Diceros bicornis minor: one gene and its partners. The protein of the gene in region 1 interacts with the protein of each later gene in a pairwise test. Links are inferred from orthologs where the notes say so. Each region holds a gene or a part of one and is shown on either strand. Other genes may lie near its edges. The genes, in order: BEND7, NIF3L1, EIF1AD and EAF2.

Region 1 (7,972 bases):
AACATGAATGAATCTTGTAGACATAATGTTGAGCAAAAGAAGCCTGACACAAAAGAGTACACACTGTATGATTCCATTTACATGAAGTGATATAGTGATAGAGGCAAAACCAAGCTATGGTGATAGAGGCTAGAACTGTGGTTTCCTTGGGGGGCTATCTGCTGGGAGGGACCACAGGGAAGCCTGCTGGTGGGCTGGAAATGCTCTGTATCTTAATCTGGAGGGAGGAGGGTTACATGGATGTCTACACAAGTAAAAGAAATTGAGGTGTAAACTTAAGATTGTGTTCTTTACCGTATAAGTTAGATCTTAAAAAAGAACATTAAAAACTTATTTTAAAGAAACAACAGAAAGGTAGTAAGGTTAATGTATCATATTTAAGATAGTCAGGAAACCAGTGTGCCATTCAAGTTTCACTAAAAAAGGGTCTTAGCAAAACTGATTTTCCTCATTTGCAAAACTGGAATATTAATCCTCACATAGCAGTTAAGAGAATTAGATAATGTATAAATATCCCTGCGATCCTATAAGAGAAGACTCATTTAAATATAAGGCAATATTATTTGTGGAACACTCCAAGATCACATTTTCACTTAAGTAATCTCTTATAAATACCACCTCCTTTGCTTTAAATTACAATTGCTAAAACCCATAAAGTAAATGAAAGTGGAAACTTGAGTTAGGCCAGCAACAAATTGATAAATTGGAGCTAAAGTCGGGCTGCCTATTCTCTCCATGACCCTTCTGACCGGCGATTGTTGTAAAATTGAGAACTTAATATTTATACTTACTAAATCTTCTTGAAGGATTCCAGAATCTACTCAGTGACAGGATTTTCAATTCCAGAAACTCCAATCAAAGATTTATGAACAGCTCCAAGCCCAATAATACCATCCTGCTTATCTCCTTCTTTTTGAGGGTTATTAATAAAACAATTAAAGAATCATCAGGTTGCAGGCATATCTATGTATATAACATGATTCAAACTATATAGTTCCTCTAAATCTGAGCTGTCTGATATGGTAGCCACTAGCCACTTATGGCTATCGAGCACTTGAAACTTGGCTAATCTGAATTGATTTGTCCTCTAAGTGTAAAACACACACCATTTTCAAAACTTCACACACAAAAAAGAATGTAAAATAGCTCATTAATATTTTTATATTGATTACATGTCAAAATGATAATATTTTTAATATAGTACTGGGTTAAATAAGATATATACGACTAAAATGAATTTAACCTGTTTCTTTTTACTTTCTTTAAATGTAGCTAATAAAAACTTTAAATTCCATACATGGCTTGCATTATATTTATATGGGACAGCAGGGCTCTAAACGAAGATGGAAATGTCCATAACGTTATTCTTCTCAGAACAGTTTTCAGAAAGAGAGTTTTAAGAATTAGGGTTATAAACACACAGATAAGGAAAATAGATTAGTGGTTACCAGAGGACAAGGTGGTGGGGGGAGGGTGAAAGGGGTAAAGGGGCACATGTGTATGGTGATGGATAAAAACTGGGCCATTGGTGGTGAACACGATGCAGTCTATACAGAAACTGAAATATAGTGATGTACACCTGAAATTTACACAATGTTGTAAGCCAATATGACTCCAATAAAATAATTTAAAAAAAAAATGCATTAGTGTTAAACATTTTCTGGCCAAATTACCTTTGTCAAAGATTAAAATCTATGTTTAATCTGTATAATCAACTGAATTTTAGAATGGTCATATGACGTTCGGGGTACATGAAGTCACAGAATACTTGACGGGTTTCCCTTGAGTTTTTTTTTTTTTTTTTTTTGCTGAGGAAGGCCGGCTCTGAGCTAACATCTATTGCCGATCCTTCTCCTTTTTTTTTCCCCCCAAAGCCCCAGTAGATAGTTGTATGTCATAGTTGCACATCCTTCTAGTTGCTGTATGTGGGATGCGGCCTCAGCACGGCCGGAGAAGCGGTGCGTCAGTGCGCACCCGGGATCCGAACCCGGGCCACCAGTAGCGGAGCGCTCCCACTTAAGGGCTAAGCCATGGAGCTGGACCCTCCCCTGAGTTTTGATACTATGTAAACCTGCAGTTCTAAAACCTTCAGCGGCTTTCAACTATAGAGGCAGAGAAATGACCTTAGCAGATCTCCCAGAGGACTTTCCAGGACACAACACAAAAGCTGCATTCAATTAACCAAAAACAATACTGCTGTGACTGAATCGTGTCCCCTCAAAACTCAGGTTGATGCCCCAACCCCCAATGTGATGGCCATTAGAGGTGGGGACTTCGGGAGGTACTTAGGGTTAGATGAGGTCATGAGGATGGGGCACTGATGATGGGATTAGTGTCCTCATAAGAAAAGGAATAGACCAGAGCTCTCTTTTTCTCCATCATGTGAGGACACTGTCAGAAGCCAGCCAGGAACTGACCCTGTCAGACCTTTACCTGGCACTTCTAGCCTTCAGAACTAAGAGAAAATAAATTTCTATTGTGTAAACCACCTGGTCTATTGTATTTTGTTATGGCAGTTCAAGCAACTAATACTGATACTTACCACTTAAAGCAATCTCTTTTTTATTAAATATCATAATTAATCTTTACTTAATGCTGATTATGAGAATACACATTTTTGTTATATAAAGGCATGGTGATTTGCACAATGTGGAGAATAAATAAATATTTGTTGATTTTCTCTATGTTAATAGGACAGCCCTGACCTATGCCCTCTGTGGACCAATTCGCTCATAGACCATCTTTGCTGCGCCAGGACAAAGGGTCAAGGAAAATAATTATTATTTAAAAACATTATTACTTTCAAATATTTTCTTCTTAACTATATCAAAAATATTTTCTTCAGTAAATGGAATTCATATTCCCACTTGAACTGAAAATGCTAAGTTGTTAATATCTCCCCTAGGGATCTGCTTCTTGGTATGGCACCTTCAACGATTTCAGCATAGTTTAAGCATAATAAAATCTCATTTTATGCTCCAAGGTATGAACGATGCTAAATGTTCCTCAATTGGTATAGTACTAGCCTTGTGGCTTTTGGAATAACATTTTAAAAGGCATTACAAAATGAAAAAAAGGGTCCCAGCCCCGGGAACAAAATATTAAGCTTTGCTTTTTTAAAAACATTCAAAACATCTTCGGGTTTTTAACTGCTTGGTTTTAAAGAAAGAAAGAGGAAAAATAATGGAAGAAAACCAAACAGGGTAGTGATTTAATCCCTGTTATCACGTTAATCCCTTCTGCCACCTTTTAGAGTGCCAAGGGGTCTAAGAGCACCAAGAAATCTATACAAAATTTTGTTTGTTCTATACGTATTTTACGGGAATAGGGTCCAGAGCTTTGAACATAATCTTTGACCAAAAAGATTTAAGAAACCCTTGTTTAAGGGTCTGCATTAGCGAAATGAATGAACAGTTCTCCCTCCAACCTGGCCAGGTATACCCAGCCTCCTCACTTTCTGCAGCCCACCTAAGACCTCAGGATGCATACCAGGCCCTGCTTCCACTATTTGGTGGTTACCTGGTTCCTTGATTTTGTTTCTGGGTGTGTGTACGTTTATGCTAGTTGCCTCCAACTTCCCTCTTCCTCTGTACCTCCCTGTTAAATAAGAGTGGACCCTGAGTGGCTGTCTCATTTGAGTGACACGCACTGTGTAACATCACATTTATCAACATACCCTTTTCCCTTAATCCTCTCACTCTTTTGGGGCCACCTGAATTTGCCACAGTGCTGGACGGGCTGTCCGTATTTTGGTCTAGAGATGATCAGTCTGGCGGCGGTTGTTTTAAGCAGATCACACTCCTGTACTGCCCTGCCTAGGTGGTGTCAAATTCTCTTCCATTCCACACTCTCAAGATGTTGTGAGAAAGAAATGGTGTGCTCTTAGCTCCCTAGAAAAGAATATTATATAAAACTAATAAAGCCTTCCTGTTTATGCCAATTATTTTGGCATTACTACATCAAGTGGCAGAGTCCCCTGCACCTGCCTTATTTTTTCCGTAAAAGTCAGCAGAGCGATCAAGCACCCTCTGACGTCGCACCCCTCACCCTTTGCACCCTCTCCAAGCCCCACATTCCAAGTTCTCTCCTTGAATATAACTCCGGATCTTCCTACAACCCTCCTCGTGTTTGGGTATAGCAGCTCACTCTTCTGTACTCTTCTCACCAGGAAATTCTAACATCCCTTCGTTTCCTTGCAGAGCGCAGATGGGTAAGCTGTATTTTTTTTCCCCTAAAACTTGCCTAAAACCAGTGAGTCCGGCCCGTCGACACCCCGAATCTTAAGGCAAGGAGTGGGCTGGCCAGGAGAGTCCCCGACACCCAGGACTATTTATAACAAGATCGGCCCCAGGAAGCGGCGGGGAGACGCAGGCGAGCTCAGGGCCGAGAGCCGGGCCCCCCGGGAAGCAGCGCCCCGAGTCCCCGGCCCCCGCGGCGCCAGCGGCAGGACCCCCGCGCCGGGCAGGGCCCGGGGTCCCCAGGGGGCAGGGCGGCCGGCCGGGCCGAGGGCGCTGCGCCGCGGCCTCCGGCTCGTCCTCGGGGCGCCGCGCGGCCAGGCCGGTGGGTGGCGGCGGCCCGGGCCCCCGGGGACGGCGGCGGCCGCGCTCCGCCAGCAGGTGGCCCCGGGGTCCCGGCGGCGCCGCCCCCTCGCGGCGCCCCTCCTCCCGCGGGGGCGGTCAGCGCCCCGACCCGGCTCGCACCCCGCCGCCGCCGCCGCCGCCCTCGGCCCGCCCGCCCGCCCGCCGCGTCCCCGGGGCCGCGCTCGCCGCCGCCGCCGCCGCGTCCGGAGCTGCGCCCAGGGCGCCGGCAGCCCGGCCCGCCGCGCCCTCCCCGCCCCCCACTCGCTCCCCAACGGAAAGTTCGGCTCCGGCTGCGTCTTCAAAGAAGCCGGGCATGAGCGGGGGTCGGGGGGCGCGCTGAGGGCGCGGGAGGCGGCCACCAGGAGGGGGCCGCTTCTCCCGGGAGGGCGCCTCCTGCCGAGCCCCGCGCGCCGCAGCCCCCGAGGGGCTTCGAGGTGGTTTTTCCCTTTCCTCCGCCTCCCCCCTGCGGATTCCAGACACGGACCTTGGTCCTGGCGCTCCCGCTGCCGGGTGACAAGAGCCAGCGCCGCCGCCGCCGCCTCGGCCGCCGCTCGCTCCGGCCGCCCCCGCCGCAGCCCCGGCCGCCCGCTCCTGCCCGCACCATGGAGTTCTCGGAGAGGAAGCGAAGCAGGAAATCGCAGAGCTTCAAACTGGTGAGCCGAGGTAAGCGGCGCCCGGGGCCGGGCCGGCCGGGCGGGGGGCGTGCGGCCGGCGGGGAAGGACTTGGCGCCGCGTAAACATCCCCGCGCCCGGCCGCGCGCCCCCGCCGGGGGTCTGGCTTCCTTCCCGAGGGGGGCTGCGGCCGCACACGCGGGCGGCGGGGAAAGTTGTGCGGGGGGAGAGGCAGGATGTTATTCCGCGTAAACAAGTCGGAGGGCACATCAGGAAATTAGCAAACAATGACACTTGGGGAGCCGAGAGGCTTCTTCGGCATTCCGCTCCTGTAGCTAGGTTGGGGGGTGGGGGAGGTCTGCCTTTCCATCAGGCCGTGCGGACACGAATCCCGACCAATGGTTGTGGGGTTTTATTTTCCCCCAAAGAGAAGGAAAAAAGGTGGTGGTTCTTTTAAGAACGAGAAAGAAGCTCGTTAGGTGTACAAACCTAAATGAGAATTGTTGACATCCAGCATCTTTTCTAGATACGTTAGTTGGGTTGGAAAGCTGTTGTAGAACAGATCACTTATCAGCCAGACAAGTATCATTAAGACAAAAAAAAACCCGCCGGTTACTGACGATTTAACAGGTGTACACCACAGTCTTTGGGGCTTGGGTTTATTTTCTCAGGGGAGGGGCAAGTTGAATAGTCTTGTCCGTGTTCAGTTACTTGTTAGAGTCTTTATTTTCCTGATTTGACTTTTTAAAAAAGGATGAGCACTTAAGAGCAGGCGTAAAAATAATGTCTATCAAAATGCATTGTGTCACCTTAAATTGGAGGGAGGTGACTTTTTTTCATCGTCATGTCACAAGTCTTAATATTGAGGTTAGAACCTGTTTAAATATCTTCTTTGAATCAACTTGAGGTCAAAACCCAACCAGAGAAGCTATCCTCTTTTCCTCTGTTTTATCTAGCATTGGCATCAGAGTAGAGAGCAAAGCGATTGTTTTAACAACCTGGAGAAGTCACATGTAAGCTGATGAAAATTAGAGAGCAATTGCAAGTAATAGAGCTTTTCAAGATAAGCTGGGCTAACGATGATGTAGCTTCAATATGGCTTGCTTTTGGTTAGTCTGAAAATAGTCTGATTGTAGACATTTTGAAGATCCACTCATATCTGTTTCCCCTGATTTCGTTTGGATACTTTTTAATGAAAGAGGCCTGAAATAGTTTTATGTATTCAAAATATTTGGCTCCTCCCTTTATGTACATTTTTTCTAGTAGTGTTGATTATAGTCATTTGTACTTTAAAAGTCTCTCCATATGTGACTAGCCTGTGGGTCTATCTGATTCATTCAGCAATGTAGGCTGCTTTCTTATTTATCACCTCAGGGCACTTACTACTTTATCTTAAAAGTGAGAGTCGTTTTGTAGACCTCATCCTGTGAGGTCCAAGGCCAAAAAAAAGGGAAGAGCTGTTAAGGTTTTCTTACCTAGATGATCCTACTTTTTAGAAATAGACAATTGCCCAAGTACAGTCGCCTCTATAGAGAAGCTTGGGAAATATTGTATTTTAAAGTTTGACTGACATAGCAATTTTTTTCTTTTTCCTTTTTTCTTTTTTTTTTTAAATTATGAGTCTGCTTCTTCTCTCTGCTCTACAGGTGCATTTTTAGAAAATAAATTATTGTATATTAAAGTGCAGTAGCTGACTGCAAAAGATTCACTTGTGGGAAAGATGAGAATCTTGCTTTCTTATCCAAATTAGACTATTTTTGAAATAACAAATCAGTATTTTCATATGTGTTTGCCTGCAAGCTGCTTAAAGGCTGGAATTTTTCTGGGTAAACTGAGAAAACTGAGAGCACTGAGTAACTCTAAAGCATACTATTGATGTACTCATGAAAATGGGCTGTAGAGATAAATTTGGAATCCTCCCCTGGCCTATGATTGGGCAAGATTTTTCTTTTCCTTATAAACAGACTTGTCATTTGAAAGAAAAGAAGCCTAGTAATTGGCATCTTTGGGTCAAATTTACTGTAAAAACTGTGTGACCAAGCAAAGCTGTTTTCTAAAGTTAAAGTAATATCTCAAGTTTGTGTACGTCTTCAGAGTAAGCAAAGTTTTAGGAGTTATTAGTGACTACAAATTCTGTGATTAACCGAAAATTCTTGAAAATTCTATTTATAAATTGAAAGTTGTATTTATAAATTATAGATTATACATACTATATATAATGAGACTCTAGTCTTTATTGCTTATTCATATCTCGCAGGTCATTAGAATTCTAATTTTTGGTTGTTTTCTCATCCTAGATTATCACCATGAGGTATATAAGAGCTCAGAATTCAGCAACGATGTTAATGGGGAGGCCAAAGAGACACAACCCATTTTTTTAGGTAGGTTCTTGTGTCAATTAATTTCTCAGCAAAACAGTGTGGCTATTTGCAATTAGGGGGAAAAAAATGATTGGGCCAGAATGGGAAATGTCTGCCATTGCTAAATGTATGACATTCTTTTCAAGACCTTTTATTTTACAGATTGCCAATATATCCCTTATTAACATTGCTAAAAGTTGTAATTTCAGACATAAATGTTTATTAGTGTCTACACACAGTGCTAATTATCACTCACTCCCAGAGCCAGATGCTGACTGTGCAGTTTTGACGCTCAGCGCTCACCCCATTTACATTGCATATTCGCTGGCATGCTTCACTGGCAATAGTTTGTGTAATTGGGGTATTACATCTTTGACATCTGGATAACAGAAATTCAATTTCCAGGAAGCCGCTATTTGT
Region 2 (7,227 bases), on another chromosome or scaffold:
CCCCTGCCTAAAACACTTTAATGGCTTCCGTTTGTTCTTGGAATAAAATACAAAATCCTCAGCAGGCCCAACAAGCTGTTCATGACCTGGGCCACCTCTGCATCTCAGATGATGATAACCTATTCCCTGTTGCTCACTATGGTAACCCCATCAGCCTCCTGAAAAGTCATCCAAAAGAGGCAGGCTTCCCTACCTGGAGGACTTTGTACCTGCTCTCTTCACACCTGCAGTGTTCTTTTTATATCTTTCCATTGGAGATGCCTTCATTACCTTTCACACTAAGTTTAAGTATCACTTGCTTAACTTTGGCCTGCCCTCACCTTCTTTTAAATAATTCCTTTCCCATTATTCTCAATCTTAACACTTTATTTCCTTCAAGACAATATCACCCTCTAGAATTACTTTTTTTCTAGAATGCATTTTTCCCCTGCCTATTTTCCCAGCCAGAATATTAACTCCAAGAAGCCAATGCCGACAGTGTCCAAACTCCACAATGTCTCTTGTTCATCATTGTATTCCCAAACGCTAGCAAGACAGCCTTTTATAAATGAATGCTGAGGGAATGCCTATATATAGCCAACTCTTCTTCCTTCTATCCTTGTCATTTAAACAAGTGAAATGACGTATGGAACAGTTCTCTTACCTAATTTCTAATGATTATTTACGTTTCCTGAGGAAAATGAGCCAAAAGGAAAAGATACCAGGCACTCTATACCTGGAGAAAAATTATTTCTCCTTTTCTTTCTTTTTTTTTTTTGTGAGGAAGATCAGTCCTGAGCTACCATCCGATGCCAATCCTCCTCTTTGTGCTGAGGAAGACTGGCCCTGGGCTAACACCTGTGCCCATCTTCCTCTACTTTATATGGGATGCTGCCACAGCATGGCCTGACAAGCAGTGCATCGGTGCGCGCCCGGGATCTGAACCCAGGTCGCCAGCAGCAGAGCTTGCACACTTAACCACTACACCACAGGGCCAGCCCGCTAACAATGGTTTTATAGAAAAATTTTTTGGGGGGGCCGGCCCCATGGCTCAGTAGTTAAGTTCGGTGCGCTCCGCTTCAGTGGCCCAGGTTCAGTTCCTGGGCGTGGACCTACACCACTCGTTGGTGGCCATGCTGTGGCAGCGACCCACATACAAAATAGAAGAAGACTGGCACAGATGTTAGCTCAGGGCCAATACTCCCCAAGCAAAAAGAGGAAGATTGGCAACAGATGTTAGCTCAGAGTGAATCTTCCTGAGCAAAAAAAAAAAAAAAAAGAAAGAAAGAAAGAAAGAAAAGTTTTTTTTTGGATGTCGTTATTTTCTTAAGTTAGATGATTCAATTTCAAAATGGTTATCCTGTTGCATTAACTCACTTTTTTATGTACATAATGGTACTCACTTCACATGTTTTAGGTGTCCTTTCACAGAAGACTTCTATTTTAATATCACCTACATCTGTATGCAGTGTCACCGACTAAAAAGGAGAGAGGATGTGAGAACAAAAGAAATTTCTTCAGGTGACCTTATGCACTATATGATTTCCCTAACTAGATATTAAAGATGACAAACTGAATAAAAGCAGAGAGGAAGAAATACGGTTTCAGAGATGAACCACCCACATAGCAGCTCTGAGAGACAAGATGTATTTCTTCTTCTTCTTTTTTTATTTTTTTGAGGAAGATCAGCCCTGAGCTACCATCCATGCCAATCCTTTTTTTTTTTTTTTGCTGAGGAAGACTGGCCCTGAGCTAACATCTATTGCCAATCCTCCTCCTTTTTTTTTTTTTTTCCCTTTTTCTCCCCAAAGCCCCAGTAGATAGTTGTACGTCATAGTTGCACATCCTTCTAGAAGCTGTATGTGGGACGCCACCTCAGCATGGCTGGACAAGCGGCGCGTCGGTGCTCGCCTGGATCCGAACCCAGGCCGCCAGTAGTGGAGCGTGTGCAATTAACCGATAAGCCACGGGGCCAGCCCCAGATGTATTTCTTCAAAATTTATATCAGCAATAGAAAAAAACTCCATAAGATAAATATAAATACTAAGGTAAAATGATATCTAGTCTAAAAACTTGGGAGCAAGTATTATGATGGAAATAATTAATTTAAGTTTGAATTTTTCATCAATAAAAATAAAAATTCTTATGTTAGTATTATTGATTAAATGGCAATTCACTTACATCATTAATATTTATTGAAAAATAATAAGGAAATGATTTTTCAAAACAGTTTTCACCATTTCCCTTAATGTAATTTAATTGTGAGAGACAGGGTTAAAAACAATTCCTTTCTCAACTAAAGACAACAGACATAAAAAGTGTCAGTGCTTCTAGATCCTAAATATGCAGAGGTAACCATGGTACTCTTTCTTGCCTGCTTTTTGTTTATCTGTTGTTTTGGTAGCTTACCTATTCTTTTTGTTACCCCATTCCAGACAGGGGGAAAACTATTCTGAGGCTTCCGTTTTCATTTCTTCTTACAGTAGGATCTAGCAGTCAGAGAGTATGGCCAGGCAGAGGACAGGAGAGTGTGTGTGTTGGGGGGCGGTGGGCAGGGCATTATTCTCATTGCTTTTCTTCTACTTCAAGCTCTAGTTGCCCACCTTAGTCCAGAGCAAAAGGATTCAATTAAAATTATCACACCTGGCTACACTCTTCTGCTCTTCCAACTCCCCCTTTCCATCTCTATCTATCTTGCAGTCAGTCTTTTTCCATAAAAGATAAATTCTGTATGGTTTAAGTGAAAATAAAAAATTTAAAAGTAATTTTGCTTATTTCTGTTTTGCTTAGAATCATTTTACACTGTATGCTTCTACAGCTTATCATTTTTCCATCTTGCCATTGAAATTTCCATGCAGTTTTATTTCCCTTGGCTGACCTTCTAAAAATTACTTATACTGAAAGACATTCATAAGAATTCCATAAAACTGGGCCGGCCCAGTGGCTTAGTGGTTGGGTGCGCGTGCTCTGCTGCTGGCGGCCCGGGGTGGGATCCCGGGTGCGCACCGATGCACCGCTTCTCCGGCCATGCTGAGGCCGCGTCCCATATGCAGCAACTAGACGGATGTGCCGCTATGACATACAACTATCTACTGGGGCTTTGGGGAGAAAAAAATAAATAAAAAATCTTTAAAAAAAAAAAAAAAGAATTCCATAAAACTTACCATTTTTCTTCTTGATGGTTTCAGGAAGCACTGTTATGTAATTTTTCAGTCTTATCGAGAGAAGTTCGAAAATGAGTCTCTATTCCCAAAAGAAAAAAAATTAAGTTCACCTTCTCTGAACTCACACATGCTCATCTTGACTGCATATTTAAAAGAAAAAGTCTTGAGAGCACCCCCCAAGTAATAAAAATACGGCTATGCAAGTGATGAGGAGCTCCTACCAGACTCAAGCCCCTCAATCGCCTACTTCTGCTCACTCTCCTTCAGGATCCTCCTGCAATCCCCGACAAGCCAGGGACATCCCCGCCCTGGGGTCTGCGCGCTGGGCGTCCCCGCCGCCCGGAACGCTGCCGCTCGAACACCTCTACGGCTGCCTTCCTCACCGCCAAGCCTGCCCAAGAGTCAGGTCTCCCTGGCCCGACAACTCGATTCAAAACTGCCTCCACCCTAGTTCCTGCCCTGTGTCCTTTTCCCACAGCACTTACACTAATACAACACACGCTCGATTAAGTCTGTCCTTTCAACAACGCCTCCCCGCCCAGAATGCTCACTCAAGCAGCCCAAGAACTCACACACACAGCGCTCAGCACGGGTCTGAATAAGCGAATGAAAGAATGAGCGACGTTACCGCGTACTTACTTAACCACTTCGGTTAGCACAGTTGTTAAAAACTTAAAACGACGCCCGCACGGGTCTGTAGACTCGAAATTAGTTTCTTCGGGTCACCGGAAGTCGAGTACGGGACCCACTAGAGAGAACGCCGCTCACCTGCTCGCCTCCTTCTCCCTCCCCGCTCCTCCTTATCTCAAAACAAAAGGACTAGACCTAGAGAGACAATGTCATTTATCCGCACCTGGAACACTTTCGACAGTGAAAGGGAACTCTTCTAATAATTACATGAGGACAAGAACCGTAACCTGGAACTATTCTGGGCAACCTTCAGAAGCGTCGTGGGCTCAGACGTAAAACGGGAAGAGCACTTCCGGCCGCTTGTCCCTCAGTTTATTCCCACACGCCAGGAGGTTCCGCGCGGGACCGGACGTGACGCACGAGAAGCGCGCCCGGGGCCGGTGAGTCGGGTGATCTTGGTTCCCGCGTGGGTGTCCGAGGCCGTCGAGGCCGGCGCGATTCATGCGGGCTGTGGCTGTCAGAGAGGTGCTGCAGCGGAGACGGGGGCGGAAAACTGGCTCCCCGCGCGGGAGCGCAGGGCACCTGTGGGGCAGCGGCCCTGCCTCGGGCTTACCTGTGCCACCGGGGCTCTTCGTTGTCCTGGAAGAGGCCTGAAGGGGGACTGAAATGAGGTAGATGAGGGGAGAGGGTGCAGTTTGCAGGCTGTAAAAGGGGCCCCACTAATGTTACTTAACGTTAACAGTCAGTGCTGGCTCTAGGCCAGGCATTGTTTCCGGCTGCCCGGATACTCTCGCGACAGCGCCGTGGGCTGGGTACTCTCCATCCTTCAGCGGCGGAAACCGCCGAGGTTAAGTGATGAGTTGCGCAGCTGTGGCCTTGGGAGGCAGTCTGGTTTTGGAGTCGGTGCTCTTACCCACCATGCTATGCCGCCTCCCGTTGTTGTTAATTGTGGCTTCAAGCTGCGCCGCGTCCCAGTTTCCTAATCTGTGAAGTGGTGCGTGTTCTCTTCTTGCTAGGGGCTCTTTCGGGTAGGACAGTAGATAACTCAGATTCTCTAGTGGGCGTGGCGGCCCACTAGAGCCTCACTTTGGCGCTTGCCATATTTAGAAGAGTCTGGAGAGTGGAGTAGTGTCAGGACGGGGAATCTGGAGAGTGGAAGTGGTATAAGGACCATTAGAAGACCTCTCAAGACCCCAGGCTCGAGTGGGTTTGGAGGCTCCACGTCACAAATCATATATTGAATAAGTACATCTCGTATTAACTATTTTGGCTGTAGAACTGTTGGAAAAAATTTGCTTTTGAAATCATTGGGCTATGAGTATTTCATTAAATTTACAATTGGCTGTGCTGTCTTGCTAATTATTGTGCATACTGTGAAATGCTTTTCTTCAAAAACAGAAATCTTCATGGATACTAAATGGGAGAGTGGTGTTGACAGTGCTGTCTTTTGGATTGGATGTAGATGTCTGAAAGGCTTGCAGACCATGTGGGCAAAGTGCCCTACACCGCTGCCTCTCCCACCTCTTGAGCCTGGCCTTCCTGTAACGGTTGGTTCCGGGGCAGCAGCCTTGCTGCCCATTGGTGACATGACCCACCTATGCATCCCGTGACTCTGGCTGCTGATAAAGCACTTAACTTTTGAAAAATATTTTATTGTTTTTTTGGTAAAACATTTTTTAATGGCAATATATACCACCCTAACTCCAAATTCTGCTGAGGTGGGGGAGGGGGAGTGTCAGTCTGTTTAGCAAGCGTTTAGTGCTGGCCTGTGTTGCTGACACTGAGATGTATAAAAGCTAGTTCCTGTTCTCTGGTAGCTTTAGCAGACTGGGGGAGACAGAGGAGCAGAAATATAACATTCTGAGAATACCAGGGCAGAGGGCAGTGAGGTGGGGAGCCACTGAAAAGGAAGGTTTGTCAAGAAAAGCTTTATTTAGGAAGTTGAGGGGGACTTGGAAAGAAGGGTAGTATTTAAAGAAATGGAGAAGAGAGGAGGGTAGTTGAAGCAAGGGTGGGGCTGGGGAGGAGGGAATGAACACTTGTGTGTTATGTACCAGGTTTGTGCTAGGTGACTTACACATATTAATCCATTTGCTCCGCTGATGGCCTGTGAGGTTATGGTGTCTCCCTTTTGTAGATGAGAAAACAAGCTCAGAGAGATTAAATGACTTAGCTAAGATTCCACCTGCTAGTAAGTGGCAGAGCCAGTATTTGAACCCATGTATGTGTGACTACAGCGCTTTTGCCTGTATGCTTTGCTGCCTCAAAGGTCCGGGCCTAAGGTGTACAGGTGTACCACTGTCTGTGTTTTGACTCCAGATACTCAGCTTTACCTGATTCCTGTATGTTGTCATCTTGTGTACGCCTGGTCCCCACGGCAGTTCGGCTGGTCGGTTCCCTGGTCTGCAGTTCTTCCCGTTCCTTCATGGATTTGAAGGCTCTCCTTTCCTCCTTGAATGACTTTGCATCCCTATCATTTGCTGAGAGTTGGGACAATGTTGGATTACTGGTGGAACCAAGCCCACCACACACTGTAAACACACTCCTCCTGACCAATGACTTGACCGAGGAAGTGATGGAGGAGGCGCTGCAGAAGAAGGCAGATCTCATTCTCTCTTACCACCCACCTATCTTCAGACCCCTGAAGCGCGTGACCTGGAAAACCTGGAAGGAGCGCCTGGTGATCCGGGCTCTGGAGAACAGAGTCGGGATTTACTCTCCTCACACAGCCTATGATGCTGCACCCCAGGGAGTCAACACCTGGTTGGCTAAAGGGCTCGGTGAGAAGCCTCTTGTTCTTTCATGTTTAATATTTTTCTTACAGGGCCAGCCCGGTGGCGCAAGCAGTTAAGTGTGCGCGGTCCGCTGTGGCGGCCCGGGGTTCACAGGTTTGGATCCTGGGTGCGCACCAACACACTGCTTGTTAAACCATGCTGTGGCAGCGTCCCATATAAAGTAGAGGAAGATGGCCACAGATGTTAGCTCAGGGCTAATCTTCCTCAAGAAAAAAGGGGAGGATTGGCATCAGATGTTAGCTAGGGCTAGTCCTCCTCACAAAAAAAAAAAAAAAAAAATTTTCCCTACAAATGCTTTAAAATTTTAGAATGTCTTTCCTATAGAGTTTGAACTGCTTTAGGGGTGGGGACCATTATTCTATTTTTATATATTTAAGAATAATGTTGCTGAAATCTGGCGATTAAATTGCATTTGAAAAGTGAGTTTTTTATCCTTAATGAATAAGGAGAGTGTGGGAAATCCTCATTCTGGACTGAGCTTCGTGGGTCCTCACTCATGTGGCGCAGTGCCTAGCACCCAGGCACTCCAGAAATGCTTGTTCAATTGAGTTGAAAGCTCAGACCCCTTCAGAATATGCTTCATAATGTCAGTCAAGTAGACATCAGAGTTTATTGAATGCTTACTTATGCGCAGCACAATGAGGGAATTCAGCATATGT
Region 3 (7,729 bases), on another chromosome or scaffold:
TTCCCCATTTCCTGCCCATTCAGCCCACCTGCTCGTGAGGCCTCCACCAAGGAGCAGGTTTCAACTTCATCACAAGTCCCTCTTCCCTCCAGAAAGGGACTCGGACACCAGCACAAGTCACCACCCACCAGGGGTTTAATTCTCCTGGGTCAGAAGGTCAGTTCAGAGAGGGGCTCTGCCTTGTCCCCACCCAGTGGGGAAGACCTGCAGAGCACCCTGGGAATGTCCATGCTCAGAGGAGCCAAAGAGTCTCTGAGCAAGAGGAAAAGTGGGTTCTGGGGTCTCAGGCCGCCTCCTCCTCTTCGCTTTCCTCCTCACTCTCATGATACTGTCTGCGGTTGGTGTTAACAAAGAGGTCGGAATCGTCTTCAGAGCTGGACTCTTCTCCTGATGACTGCGGCTCAGCTGAGAGTTCTGGCTGAGTCTGTCTACATGGGGAAAAAAGAAAGAGTTAGCCCAATGCCTTCTGGGGAAACCAGATCTGCAATAAAGGAGGCCCACAAAAAGGAGGACCACATGGCCAAGCAGCCAGGGCTCCGCAAATCAGACAAAGAGAGAGGCAGAGCAAAAACAGCCTAAAGACTACCTCCCAACCCCCCTCAAAAGTTTGCTAGACCCACAGGTTTTAATAACAACCATTCTACCACCACTGACTCTCAGTGGACCCACATTATATACCACGTACTATACTAAGCAATTTCATAAACACTGATTCCTTTAACCCTCACAAAGCTCCCCCCAACCCTCTTTTTTTTTCAGTGAGGAAGACCGGCCCTGAGCTACCATCTGTTGCCAATCTTTCTGTTTTTGCTTGAGGAAGATCGTCCCTGAGCTAACATCTGTGCCAGTCTTCCTCTATTTTGTATATGGGACACCACAGCATGGTTTGATGAGCAGTGTGTAGGTCTGCGCCCAGGATCCAAACCTGTGAACCCGGGGCTGCTGAAGGGGAGCGCGTGAACTTAACCACTATGCCACTGGGCCGGCCCCAAAGCTCCCATTTTAAAGGTGATGAAATTGAGGCTTAAGAGATTAAGTAAGCTGCTTCAAGTCACTCAGTTATAAGTGGCAAAGCTAAGATTTTAACCCAGGGCCTCTGACTTTCAAGCCATGCTCATAACCATATATTATAGCACACGTTTAAGAGTTCTCACCAGGAACCCTATGTAGGGAGAAAGGAAAGCTCTATTTTTCCCTCAAGACACCAAGGCCTGAACCCCTATTTTCTGTCCTCCCTATCCCAAGGCTTGTTCCTCACCTGTTCCTGTTGTTGTTGTGTTTCTCAGCCACTTCAGAGAAGGCCTCAGGCCTGTGCCAAGAGAAGAGCCAGAGTCAAAAAGGAAAGAGAAATCTTTCAGCCAAAAGGCTGTTTCCAGCTGTCCCCGCCTGGGATGCCATGATCTTCCCTCCCCCAGTTCCACAGCTAGGAAGTCAATCCTCCCAGAAGCCAGAAAGACCAAGGGGCCTGCCCTACCAGAGCCCCTCCTTCTGCAGAGAGCGCACATGGTCCTTGCAGAGCACAAAGGAGATCTCAGCCTTCACCTTTTCTCCCTCTTCAATAGGGTCAACAATGAGAAAGTCCCCTGTCCACCAAGAGGAGAAAAGACAGTCAGTCCTGCTGGCAGTGGGGAAAGCCAAAGGCAACGAAAATGGTTCTGCCCGCCCCTCGCCCCCCCCAGAGCTGCCTCTCTCACCTCTCTTGATCCAGATGTTCTTGCGGTATTTGGAAGGCATGCTTACCAGGAAGCGCTGCCCCTGGGCTGTCTCCACTTCATGCAGATTGTTCCCTGGGGTCCTGAGTACCTGGTCCAGGAGAGACCAAGAACCAGTCAGGCTGATCAGCCAGCTTGAACACCCTCTGAGCTACAGTGCACCCTGCTCTCACCCCAGGGGCCCAATGGGAGTGGAGGAGTAGTGGGCAGAGCAGCCTGTGCCCAATGCCACTCACCCGCACGATCTGCTGCTGATCAGAGGGCACCATGTGCTCCCCCAGCACCTCCTTCACCACATGCTTCCTCTTGGTGGCCTGAGACATGCCGGGTCCTGTCCCAGGCAGGTGAGGGACGCAGAGACTGTCAACTCCTCCTTCTGAGTTTCTTGGACGGCAGGCTCAGAACCCAGAACTGTTTTGAAGATGAGGAGGAGCCTTTTACTGAGGAGTGACACAGCGTCCTGGTTAAGAATGTCGCCTCTGAAATCCAATTGCTTCGATTCAAACCCTATCTTGGCTATTCCTAGGTGTTCAACTTCCCTAGGCCTCAAAAAAAAAATAATAGCTAACGCAAAGCATTACTGTTAGGAGAAAATGACAAGAGAGCCCTTAGCATGGTGTACGACACATACAACAACTCATATTGTAAGTACTAGCATAATCATAAAACCTACGTGTTCTAGAGTAATAAATCATTCTGGTAACAGCTCGGGAAGGAGGATGAGATAAATCGCATCGTTCTCAGCACGCTTGTACATTACAGGCATAGCATAGCCACACAACACAGATGCTCAATCTCTCAACACATTACAGGTAGAGACCAGGCGGGAGACCATCGCGATAGTCCAAGCTAAGAATGAATTAACTGAAGGTCAGGGTGAGCCGGCTTGGTCTGCGGCATCTGCGATATTTGTGACTTGGCTACTGAGAAGACAAGCACTGGTACCACCAAGATCGATGGCTTCCAAACGAAACTCCGAAGTGTCACCTCTAGTTGCCCTCCCACCCCTCCTCCCTCCCTATCCCGCAGGAAAGACGCTCAGAGAGAGACCCACACTTACTCTCTGGCCCTCGTCTCCCACGAGTGCTGCCTGAACGACCCCGTTTCTCCAGGCTGGAGGCTAAGAGCGGTTCCTCCACGACACACTTGGCAGCTGAGCCAAGGAAGGCACAGAAAAGGGACTTGCCGGCGGTCACGACGGTGGTGTCGACTCGGACTCAGGTCTCCCGCACCTCCGCATCCCTCCAGACTCCTACAAGCCCGACGCCGACGACGACAACGCGAGTCAGCCTGCGTCGGTCCCTTCCGAGCACCGTACTTCCGGCGCTCTCGGAAGCTCTCGGCCACCCCCCCCCCCCCCCCGGCCCTTGTCCGTCTCTCTAACTCTTCCCCCCGCCAGGTCGGCCGAGGCTAAGTCCTAGAGTTCCGGGTGCCGGGCAGCGAGGAAATGAAGTTTTCTCCTCCGAGGCCTCCGCTCCCCGAGACCGGAAATGCTGTCCCAGAAGCGAGATCATAGAAAGGACCCCCGCTTCCCGCGAAGCGACCAGAAAGAAGCGCCTACTAAAGGCACCGTCGAGCTCCGGAGCGCCTCATCTCTATGGCTCTAGGCGGCTAGAAGTGCCCAATTTAGATTTTTTTTTTTTAAGGCGGCTCTTGAGGCGACCCGGAAGCGGAAGTGGAAGAAAGTTCTAGTGGGTTGAGGTAGCGGCGGGAGCAGCCGGTGGCGGGAGGAGCCGTTACGGGAACGGGAGCCGCGGGTGAGCACGAGCTGCTGAGCGGGGCCTGGGCTGGAGGCCAGAGGAGGCGCGGGGAAGAGAGGAGGGAAGGGGCCGCATGTGCCAGGCGGGACGGAAGATGCGCCCTCGCAGATAGCTTGGCCGCGATGCAGGGAGAGGGCGGGGCGGCGCGTGGGCGCGTAGGCGCGCGGAGGGGGCGGGGCGGCGCGCTGGGGGCGGAGCCAGCACGGCGGGCGGACGGGGCGGGAGCCCAGGCGGGCCGCGGGGCTGGAGGAGCGGGTGTGCGCGCTCCGGCTTGCGCCTGCGCCCTGTGAGCGCTGTGGGGCGTGTGGGGCAGACCGACCACTCGTTTGTTTTTCAGAGCAGGTAGCCGGTCCAGGTACAACCAGTGTCTTCTTTGCCCAGCCAAGGTCACAGAGGGAGTGACAGCCTCAGGGCGGCCCCTGGCTACTCACCCTGGGACTCTTCCCACTGCTCCGCGCGCGCCACCTGTTAGGGCAAGATAGATTTTCCTCTGGAGCAATACCAAAACCCAGTTCCCACGGGGAGTGGAAGAGATTTCTCTTGAACAGTGGGGAAAAGAATTTCCTTGGTTTCAGTTTTCTCATCCGTGAAATGAGGGGACTCGAGTAAAACCACCATCATGGCTGGTCCAGCTTCCTCTTAATGAGATTGCTCATGGGCTTTCTGGAGTGCCCAGGTTTTCAGCCCTAACCTACTTTTTCTTGGGATTCCCAGATTCAGCCTGATCAAGATGACAACTTCTCAAAAGCACCGAGACTTCGTGGCAGAACCCATGGGGGAAAAGCCAGTGGGGAGCTTGGCCGGGATTGGTGAAGTCCTGGGCAAGAAGCTGGAGGAAAGGGGCTTTGACAAGGTGTGGGGTGGTTGCGTGCACCTGGGGAGGGCTGGGGGCCGGGTAGGGGACAGCCTGCAATGTTTCTTGTAGTTTGGGAGTGAGGAATGTGAGTGTACTTGTTGGGGGTGTGTAAGCTGAAGACATAGGCAGAGCCTGCCCTGCCTTCCAGGCTCCTGTGCTTTGATGCCACACTAAGGGTCTTATTCTTAGTCCCACAGAGTACTTAATGGCATTTCCTCTTTGCCTGTTTTGTAGGCCTACGTGGTCCTTGGCCAGTTTCTGGTGCTAAAGAAAGATGAAGACCTCTTCCGGGAATGGCTGAAGGACACGTGCGGCGCCAACGCCAAGCAGTCCCGGGACTGCTTTGGGTGCCTGCGAGAGTGGTGCGACGCCTTCTTGTGATGCTCCCCACAGAGCCCCCAAACCCCAGCCCTAGCCTTGAGTCTGCAGAGTTTGCAGCCAAGTGGGGACTCCTCTCCCGTCCTCTACAAAGGAAAAGGTTGCTGTTGTGTCTCACCTCCGATGTACTCGAGTCTTTGGGGAGTTCTCTCCCTTCACCATTTCAACTTTTTTGGAAATCTTGCTGTTGCATGCACCTGCCTTCCCCTTCCCCTGCCAGTTTCATGTTGACAATTACCAGCTTTTCTGAGTGGATTCCTGGCCCCTATCCTCACTCCCACCCTCACCTGTGGTCTGTTTTATGCCATTTGGCTCGTTTTTTGGCAGAACAGTCACTGTCCTTACAGAGTTTTTTAAATCAATAAAGTCAGTGGCCTTCATGACTGGGCTTCGTGTGTGAACAGCAGGTGGGCTGGGAGTCGCCTTTTCACCAGAGACTGACCAGGTGTGCTGCCCTCCTTATCAGCGCAGGTTGAAAGTAGCAGCTTCCTTCCCAGCCTGGAGGGCAGCCGCCCCAGCCACGTGGGCCTCCAGCAGGTGCCTCGGAGTGTCTCAATCCCTTAGTGATGTGGGAGAGGGTGTGGGTTGATTCTTCCTGGGATCCATATGGGCTGTGGTGTTCCAGATGTCAGTGGAGTCAACAGCTGGGCTAGGCAGCACCTGGAGGAAAAGTCAGTGGGAGTGAGAGGTGGCAGGAAGAGGGTGGACCAGCTAAGAATGGGTAAGAGTTCCCCTGCCCATCCTCATGTGCTCTCCTGGCCTCTGGAGGAGTGGGCAGTGCTCTTGCTGGTTGTCCTGCTCTCGTAGGGAGGCAGAAAGAGCATGGGCATCACAGCTGGGGGCTCAAGTGAGTTACACTTTCATTTGGTACATTTTCATCCTGTTCTTTGTTGAACACTTAGTATGAACTAGGCTCACAACTAAGATCTTTGCAAACATTTTTTCTTCCACAATAAGAAAGTGTTTTCTCTTGTACAGGTGAGGAAGTGAGGGGCTCAGAGAGTCTAAGTGATTTGTCCATGGACTTACTGCTTAGGAAGTAGCCAGGCTGGCCCTCAGAAAGTAACTTGGAAGCCCATGTACCTGAGAGCCCTGTGTTCCTTAGTCCTGTCACTCTTCCTCTCTGAGCCTCAGTTTCCCCACTTGGGAAATGAGGTGGTGGTAAAGATCAGGTGAGATGCTAGCTGTGGGCACCCAGGCCTGCTTGGCTTTCATTCCTTCAGCAGAGCATCGTTGAGAATTTTCTTACAGAATTTTCTTTAGATGGCTTAAGTCTGCTGAGGAGAGAATGACAGATGTTAAATACAAAAATTGGACTAATATGAGAAAATTTTCATGATCTCAGAGTAGGGAAAAATTAAGAAGAAAAAGTTGATAGGGGCTGGCCCAGTGGAAGAGTGGTTGAGTTCACTTGCTCTGCCTCAGCGGCCAGGGGTTTGCGGGTTCAGATCCTGGGCACGGACCTACACGCCGCTCATCGAGCCGTGCTGTGGCAGTGTCCCACATGAAGTGGAGGAAAATGGGCACAGATGTTAGCTCAGGGACAATCTTCCTCGGCAAAAACTAAAAAGTTGATAAATTCAACTCCGTTAATAGAAACTTCGCTCGTCTAAAGATACCATAAAGAGAGCGAGGAGACTTGTCAACCCAGGGTGGGGAAGGAGCTTTGCAACACCCAAAGATAACAAAGGTCTGTAGCCAAGAAAAAGCAGACAACACAATAGGAAAGTGGGTAGAAGACCCACAAGGCAGCCAGAGTGGATACCCATATGGTGAATAAGCCTATGAAAAGGTGCTGGATTGTATTAGTAATCAGAAATGCAAATGAGATGCCATTATACACTCACTGGACTGGCAAAAATTTAGACAATGCCCTGTGCTGATGAGGGAACAGAGCAAGAGGAACTGAGAGCCAGGTGGTGGGAGTGTAGATTGGTATGAACACTTGGGAAAAAACATTCGGGCGTTTTCTAGTAAAAATGAAGATAAGACCCACCCTGTGACGCAGCAGTTCCACTCCGGGGGCTGTGACCGAGGACACGTACCTGCACCAGCACCCGTGTGAACGTTCGCAGCGGCCTTCTTATGTCAGCCTATCAATACCAGTGAAGAGGAACAGGTGAGAGCTGTGGACAACCGGTGAATCCCAACCTCAAGCGAATGAAACAAGCCATCACATCGTCTGATCCCCTTCATGTAAAGTTAACAAGTGAATTCTTGCTTGGAGATTGCTACACAGGTGGTAAAACTAGAAAAATGAAATGTTTATTGCAAAAGTCAAAGGTAAAGAAACAGAGTGGCAGTGATGACCTTTTGGGGGGAGGCCGGAGTGATGAGTGGTGGTACCACAGGCGTTGACTCCGTCTGTTAAAAGAGAACAGACGTGTTCTGTGTACTTTTTTGTCTGTTAGCTACATCGCAGAATGGTAGAAGGATAAAAGGGAAATCAAAAATAAAGACCTGGGGATACAGCAATTATGCGATTTGTCGGAAACTGATGCTTATCAGTAGGGATGAGGATTCAGTGCAAGGCTGGGTCTGCGAGGTGTGAGCGGCCCCCTGGAAGGGCATCAGGTGGCCAGAGCAGAGCCCAGCTTGTGTTACTGGCCACTTCCTGGGAGGGTGCCAGTCTGAAGCCCAGGCCGAGGTAGTAATGCAGGCTGTCCTGGGAGTTTTGGGCCATACTATTTCGGATGTTTTCCTGGATGGATCCAGCATCACCTCAGAGTCCCCTCAGCCTCGACCCTGTGCTGGGATGCTGTCACACAGGCCTTGTGTGCTTAGGCAGGGGCTCACCAGGGCCACAGCCTCCCCCCACCTCAGCCCTGACACTGCCAGATTGTTGCTGGCACCTCTGAGGTAATGGAGACTTCCTCCTCCTCCACGACACCCTTCCCATGGCTCCTGCCCACACTGGCTGCCCAGTTTTGCCTCTTGTGGCTCTGGCCCTGGGGCCCACCCAGCAGAATCCTGTGGGACACGCTGCCTGCTCTGCTTCCTCGACATGGGCTCTTCCCTGCCTC
Region 4 (7,051 bases), on another chromosome or scaffold:
CACTGGGAGAGGACTCTTGGAAGTCTGCATCTCTTTTCCTCTGGCTTTTGCCCCATGTGCCTTTTCCCTTGCTGATTTTGCTATGTATTCTTTCACTGTAATAAATCACAGCTGTGAATGACTACATATCCTGAGAACTGTGAGCCCTTCTAGCAAATCACTGAAACTGGGGTTGGTCTTGGGGATTTCCAACACGAAACTCAGAAATGTTATGTAATTATAAGATAACCAAAGCTTGCTTATAAACAGCATAGTGAATAAAATCAATTATATTAAAATAAAAAAAAATCCACATCCTGATTCAGTTTGTTTCTAAAACTTTTCTTTATAAAAAGTTTTAATTTAAGGCATTCAAAGCTCAAAATGTCATCATTTAAAAAAAGCATAATCTTTACCTATAATTAATAAAAGCTAACATACATTAAGTGTTTACTATGAACTAAGCACTGTGCTAAGTGCTTCTACATGCATTATCTTATTTAATCCTAACAGGACTATGAGGTAGAGCCTATAATCATCTCCATTTTACAGGTAAGAAAAATAAAGCTCGAAGAAGTTGACAAACTTGTTCTGGTTCCAACTGCATGTGGTAGAGTCAGTAATCAAATTCAGATCAGTCTGACTTCAAAGTCTGTGGTTTTCATTACAATGTTCATTATATTCCCTCCCATGTAAAACAGTAAAAAACACAAAACATATTCCCAAGTGACCTACTTCTAACTCACTTTTTTATCTATTATTCTTCATAACTGGCACCACAGCCCATCCTTTATATTGACGAGTTGGCCTAATACATGCATCCAAAAATCATCCCTTATTAGGTAAAATATAAATCATTAAAAAACAAGTTTTCTGGAAATATTTTAAAGAAAGCCCAGCACAACTCTTGGCACATAGTAGGCATATAACTTTCCAAGAGACTACATAGAGAGTTATCTCATTCTTTCGAATGGCTGCATTCTGCTATGCTTCCTTTGTTAAGAGTGTATCAAAATGTATTTAAACATCCTGTCTACTGGAAGTCATTCACAGTGTACACTATCACAAGCAATGCTGCAATGAATATCAATGTACATGTGTTTAGGCACTCATGCTAGTACTGGTAGAGTGAATTTCCCTTGAAGTTGGATGGCTTGGTCACAGGATATATCTTTAAAATTTTGATTAGATGATACCAAATTTTTCTCTAAAATGGGTGTTCTAATTTATACTTCCACCAACAATGTATGAGGGTGCTCATTTTACTATAAGTTTACTAATACATAATATGTTCTTCTACATTTTTGCTAATCCACTAGATGAAAAATGGTATCATCTTGTTTTAATTTGTATTTCTTTGATTATTAGTAGGTTAGGCACATTTCATGTTCCCTGGCCATTTCTTCTTTCATATATTTTCTATTCATATCTCTTAACAATTTTTCTATCAGCTTGTCTTATTCTTTCACAGAAGCTTTAATCTATTCATACAGGGATATGAACTCTTTATCCTTTATATTGGCTATAAACACTTTCTCCTTGTCTGTCATATAATTTTTTAAGTTTGATTATAGTGGCTTTACCATAGTTTTACAAATTTTTTATAGTCAAGTATAACAATCTTTACCTCTATGGCTTCTGCCTTTGGTGTCATGCTTAGAAAGGTTCTCCCTACCCTAAGTGCTAATATATATTCTCCTAATTTTTTCTAGTGTTTTTATAGTTTTGTTTTACTTACCTTCATTTACTTATATCTTTATTTATATCTTCAATACACATGTAAGTTATTTTTGTGAATGGTGTAAGAAATCTAAATTTTTTCAAGTTAGATGAGGTTACAGATTGGTGAAAAAAGAACAAATGCACATAGCTGTCAGAAATTCCTAAGGTAATTTCTCATGAAGAGATATAATAGAAGCAATCTGAAATGTCACTTGGGCATATTTTTAGAATCTATTTAGTTCATTAATCTATTTGTTTATTTCTGGGCTAGTACAACAGAATTCATTTTAATATATGTTTAGAGAAAATTCATACTAGAAAGTAAGCTTCACAAGGGCAGAATTCATACCATCCTTGGTTGTCTTCTTATCTCTCTGGTTCACTACTACATTCCCAGAGGCTAGACTAGTGCCTGGCCTGTGGTAGGTACTTAATAAATACATGTTGGAAGAATGAATAATTGCACAAACTTTGAGCATTCCAAAACTCAATTTCCTGACCCTCTGCTTTTCTCCTTGTCACAAAATGGAAACCTCAGATTTCTGATTGGAAGCCTTTTTAAGGTAAAATCGACTTGAAACACTGTTCTTGCTCTCTGGCTAACATAATGAAACATCACTGAAATATTGTCATTATCACCACATGTGTGTAGGGCACTATGTTAGATGCAAGCGTCACAAAGATTTTATATAGGACAGATGCCCTGCTCATGTTCTGGTTGGGAAAGAAAAGTATACACACACACATATATACATATATGTAAAATAATTATATAAAAAGCGTTACGTGCCAAATAGATGACACAGACAATAAGAATACAAACCACAGAGTTGGTGGACTGGGCATCCCTGAACGAGTTTTCTTAGCTGTAAAGTAAACAAAATAGCAATTCCTACCTCCTAGAATAATTCAAGATTTAGAAGAGAAGGCAGCCACCACGGATGGTCCTAAAATGTTGCATGAGAGCAGAGTTAAGCCTCAATAATAACCATTTGGAAAGCTTTTACTATATGCCATGAACTGTTTTAAACGCTTTCATGTATTAACTCATTTAACCCTCTCACCAACTCTCAGGTATAAGTACTATTATTTTTCCCCCAGTTTTAATGACGAGCATACTTAACTTTGGTTTGCACAAGTCACACTATACAGTATGAAGCTGAGGTTCAAGTCCAAAAATTCTGGCTCCAGAAGCTGAGCGCTTAACTACCACATGAAACAGAGTACCCCTTAAAAGAGCAGAATTAAGACAAGCAGAGAGGTTGCGGGAGACACATCCATCTACCCGCCTGGAACGATAAACCGACAAATCTGGCTAAGGCAGAAGGTCAGTGAAGGAGTAGAGTCTGATCACATAACTACCCTGAAAGACCGCCACCTGATATGGCAACGATTTGTAAACTTTCTCATGGGCGCTTCTCCTCTAATACAGCACTTCTCTCCTCTTTACCATTGAACTCACGAACTTTTGACAGAGAAAAAAGACAATTAGTTTTCAACTATTAAAGCTATTACCCTGTTGCCAGAGCACGAGCTCGATCCTCTGGGAACCTCGTCTTCCCGGCCTCCACGGATCACCGCCGTTACCGCCGCCGCGGATCACTGTGAAGGAAATAAATAAAAGAAGCAACCCGATGCAATCGACTTGCAACTGATCCTAAACATCTGCAGTTCCTAACTCCGAATCATTTTTTCCTCTCCCTCCCGGTCCCCTGTCCCGGTCCTGACACCACCGGGAACTTCCGCTGGGACAGAAGGTCAGAAAACGATTGCTGAGGTAACGGCGTCGCCTCCAGTCAGGTCCAAGGACCGAGGCTCCGAGGCCGCGGGGTCTTTTACTCGGCATTCTAGACCCAGCTCTGGCGCTACCAGGCCTTGGGCAAGACGCCAGGCCTTGTGCCCAGACTCCGCCCCTCCCCGGGCCTCAGTTTCCACACCAGATCTCCACAGAAAGGGCGTGGAGCACGCCGATTCTCCCGTTAAGAGCCCCTACGTGCCGGGTCAGTTGGCCCAGAAACCTTGGGGTGCCGGCCTGCCGCTATCCCGGGGCCCTCTCCTTCCCCAGCCGCCAACTTCGGACGGTCACCTCATGCTCGCTCGGCGTTCCTCCACCAAAGCACCCCGCTCCCACCACCCACCTCCCTTGCGCGGCTTCCCGGGACGGCGTGCGTCGCAACGCGGGAATGGGCCTGGAGGCGGGACCACGATCCTCGGAGCCAAGGGGCGGGGCGCCACTAGCCAGGCAACCAATCGCACGCGAGAAGCGCCCGGTGGGGCCGCGCGCGTCGGGCGGGGGGCGGAGTCCGTGGTGGCTGGGCGGGCCGCAACAAGTGCAGCTGGTTCAGGCTGAGGTGGCAGATGGTAGCGAGCGGCGCGAGTGGAGGCCAAGTCGGAGCCCGAGCATAATGATGAATGGAACAGGGGGACGCCCGCGCATTGACAGTCGCGAGCGGGTTCTCAAGTTAGGCGAGAGTTTCGAGAAGTATCCGCGCTGCGCCTTCCACACTGTGCGCTGTGAGTGAGGATGACCCCGGGGAAAGAGGGGGAGCTCTGGGTATGGGGGTGTGAAGGCACAGACCTCTCTGAGCTGTGTTCCCACAGACCTCCTTCCTCTGCTGGAGAATGGGGTGCCAGCGCGATCCGCTGCCCTCCGTGAGGTCCTAGAAGGTCAGTGGAAGGAGCCGGAGTCGAGCAGGTGTGGGTAAACCCTGGGCAGAGAGATTCAAGTGAGACCAACAGGCAGAAAAGGAAACTTTGTGGACAGGGTCTGCATGGGTGACTGTGGAGACAGGCGTGACTGGTGGATGATGCAGAGGTGGAAAGGAAAATAATGTGGCAAATGGAAGAGAGCAAAGAACCCAACTATTATGCAGGGGGCAGAGAATGCCTGGGGCTGGTGGGGAAATATTCTCTCCCTTCTTCACTTTTTCTGTCTCTGGCTGATGAGGTTCTTATTTAGTGTGTTCCTGGGGTGAGATTCTGAACCATTCTGATCTGTATCTCTTTTGGACCCCTGATTTCATTCAGTCACTTATCAAATACTGATTATCAAAGTGTTGGAGGGTGTGTCTTTAATTTCTTCATTAAAAAGATACTTAACCTCCCTATGATTTCTTTTGATTTTCTCTTGGTTGTCCTCTGGGACTAGTTTTGATAAATTATTCTTTTTTGTGTTGTTGAGGTGGAAAAGGGAGCTCTTTTGCTTTAATAGTTGGATGGTGTAGATTCCAGGAAGGAAAATGTAGCATATTATGATTTGGCATGTAAAACATTCCTTCTTTGCATAATAGCCCTCATAGAATTATAGAGCGGAAAGGAAACTCTGAGGTCATTGAATCATAACCTCTTATTTTTCTGTGGCAAAATTGTGAAGTAGGTAGTTTTTCACTTCCTTTCCCCAGCCCTGCCATTCCTTTGTGTCTCATCATTCCACCTTTCTCAGTCATTCTGCCCTTAGACTGTCCACAGATCTCTATGGTTTTTATTCGGAAGTGTTCCACGCTTCCATCAAAACACCCAATTAAAACTCACATTCTCCAAAAGTTTACTTAAGTTTTAGATAATCTAATGATAGTAACTCACAGTAAAGGTATGAAGAACCAATAGGTTGAACTTTCCAAGGATATATTTACATTTTATAAAAGGGTTTTATTAAGCAAAATTAATATCCAATTGGTAGAATAAATGAGGGAGGTATTTGCAAACAGAAGATCTTCAACAGTGTCTCTGGTTTATTCTTCTTTATCTAACTCTCATCCAAGGATCCCCACAGTGAGACAGCTAGTGCTGGCTGTGCAGTTTCTCTCCTTCAGTCCCATTTTCCAAAAGTATGATATAGTTCTTATCTGGTTTCTCCATGCCTTTCTCTCAAATAATATCTCCTCTCTCCTTTCCTCTTCTTTCTCAGGTATGCAGTAGTTTTAGTATTAATTTTTCAAGTTACAAACTTTAAGATTATAAAAATTTCTCAGAGGCCGACCCAGTTGCGTAGTGGTTAAGTTCGCGTACCCCACTTCGGCGACCCAGGGTTCGCCAGTTTGGATCCCGGACGTGGACCTACACACTGCTCATCAAGCCATGCTGTGGCAGCGTCCCACATACAAAATAGAGGGAGATTGGCACAGGTGTTAGCTCAGGGGCAATCTTCCCCACCAAAAAAAAAAAAATTTGCTCAAGAATATATTTTCATATAACTCAGGTATATATTCTCTTTTTAAGGGCATGAACCCCAAATTAAGTGAATTAAAAAAAGCCTTTGAAAAACACTTGGCAGGTGCTTCAGAACCTTTCATTTATAAAAGTTCTCAAAATGCTGGAATTGTGTCTTCAGAGTCAGAGAATCAGATGATCCAACTACAAGAATGAAAATAAACAAAAATAAGCAAAACAACAGCAGTAATAACAACCACAATAAACCCAGAGGTTTGAATACACTCTTAGTCCTGTGGAAGACATTAGAAAGGTTTTCAGGCCTTAGTTTTATTCTTATTGTTGAAGCAGGCAGAATATTTCTAAATTTATTTAAATAATACTAGTCATTATCCTTGAGGATAGGTTCATTTCCCATATGATCCTCACTCTTAAGGACTCAGAGTGAGGGATGGAAACGATAGAATAGGAAATCTGACTTTCATACAGAGCAGATGGACCTAATTTATAACAAACACTGAAGTCAATGTAATCTGCAAGGAAGTAAAATTCTATCTTTATGTATAGAGGTAAAGACTGTCCAATATGCTGAGGCTTTGAAAAAACCTGAATGTGAATTCTGGCCTCCACCACCTATATATGTAGTGTAACTTTGGAAACATTCTCTAAGCTCTCAACCTCAGTTTTCTTATATGTAAAATGATAATAATAATATCAACATTTCAAAGTTTTTAAGGATTAAATAACATAGCAGAAACAACCTAGCACAGTATTTGGTGCATGGTAGAGAATAAATAGTAGTTACCATTATTCTTGAAGGGTTATATTCATGTGTATATGAGGAGTGCCAATGAATGTAATTTACTTAGACTTCCAAAAAGCATTTATCAGGGCTTGGCGATAAAACCTGTCAAAAAGATAGCTAGCATGTGGTAGGGAAGACATGGGATGTTCTATAAATGATAAGCTAAATGCTTAGCAACAAATGTTTCACTGGGTAGAAGAGTTTGAGTAACAGGACCCACTAGAATAAATTTTCGATTTGGGCTAGTGCTAGTTTTACAATTTATATGCAGATAAAGGAATAAATGTTGAAATTCTTAAGTTTGTAAATGACACCACTTTTTGCTGTCATGAAATGATGAACTCATGGGCAGTGAGTACAGGAAGGCTGTCTGAGGTGTCAAGTGGAGCCACTCCC

What was found.
Region 2: the proteins of BEND7 (region 1) and NIF3L1 interact in binary tests that used the Homo sapiens proteins (3 or more experiments, as listed by UniProt). The two-hybrid records come from large-scale screens. The link is inferred for Diceros bicornis minor from reciprocal best matches to the Homo sapiens genes BEND7 and NIF3L1.
Region 3: the proteins of BEND7 (region 1) and EIF1AD interact in binary tests that used the Homo sapiens proteins (3 or more experiments, as listed by UniProt). The two-hybrid records come from large-scale screens. The link is inferred for Diceros bicornis minor from reciprocal best matches to the Homo sapiens genes BEND7 and EIF1AD.
Region 4: the proteins of BEND7 (region 1) and EAF2 interact in binary tests that used the Homo sapiens proteins (3 or more experiments, as listed by UniProt). The two-hybrid records come from large-scale screens. The link is inferred for Diceros bicornis minor from reciprocal best matches to the Homo sapiens genes BEND7 and EAF2.

The regions. Positions count from the first base shown.
Region 1 is NC_080775.1:14,274,251-14,282,222, reverse strand, and holds the start of BEND7 (BEN domain-containing protein 7), read left to right. Parts: upstream 1-4,963; 5' UTR 4,964-5,064; coding exon of another isoform or gene 5,065-5,182; coding exon 5,183-5,243; exon of another isoform or gene 5,244-5,258; intron 5,259-7,489; coding exon 7,490-7,573; intron 7,574-7,972. Other genes in the region: PRPF18 (pre-mRNA-splicing factor 18), read right to left, coding at 5,065-5,184.
Region 2 is NC_080749.1:78,809,834-78,817,060, forward strand, and holds the start of NIF3L1 (NIF3-like protein 1), read left to right. Parts: upstream 1-4,218; 5' UTR 4,219-4,439; coding exon 4,440-4,444; intron 4,445-6,092; coding exon 6,093-6,553; intron 6,554-7,227. Other genes in the region: PPIL3 (peptidyl-prolyl cis-trans isomerase-like 3), read right to left, coding at 1,383-1,457, 3,144-3,146. UniProt on the Homo sapiens protein: May function as a transcriptional corepressor through its interaction with COPS2, negatively regulating the expression of genes involved in neuronal differentiation.
Region 3 is NC_080770.1:7,291,127-7,298,855, reverse strand, and holds the start of EIF1AD (probable RNA-binding protein EIF1AD), read right to left. Parts: upstream 3,015-7,729; 5' UTR 2,773-3,014; intron 2,192-2,772; exon of another isoform or gene 2,173-2,191; 5' UTR 2,036-2,172; coding exon 1,949-2,035; intron 1,804-1,948; coding exon 1,695-1,803; intron 1,584-1,694; coding exon 1,475-1,583; intron 1,310-1,474; coding exon 1,259-1,309; intron 429-1,258; coding exon 284-428; 3' UTR 1-283. Other genes in the region: BANF1 (barrier-to-autointegration factor), read left to right, coding at 4,203-4,325, 4,563-4,709.
Region 4 is NC_080754.1:22,796,231-22,803,281, forward strand, and holds the start of EAF2 (ELL-associated factor 2), read left to right. Parts: upstream 1-4,048; 5' UTR 4,049-4,106; coding exon 4,107-4,215; intron 4,216-7,051. UniProt on the Homo sapiens protein: Acts as a transcriptional transactivator of TCEA1 elongation activity. Acts as a transcriptional transactivator of ELL and ELL2 elongation activities. Potent inducer of apoptosis in prostatic and non-prostatic cell lines.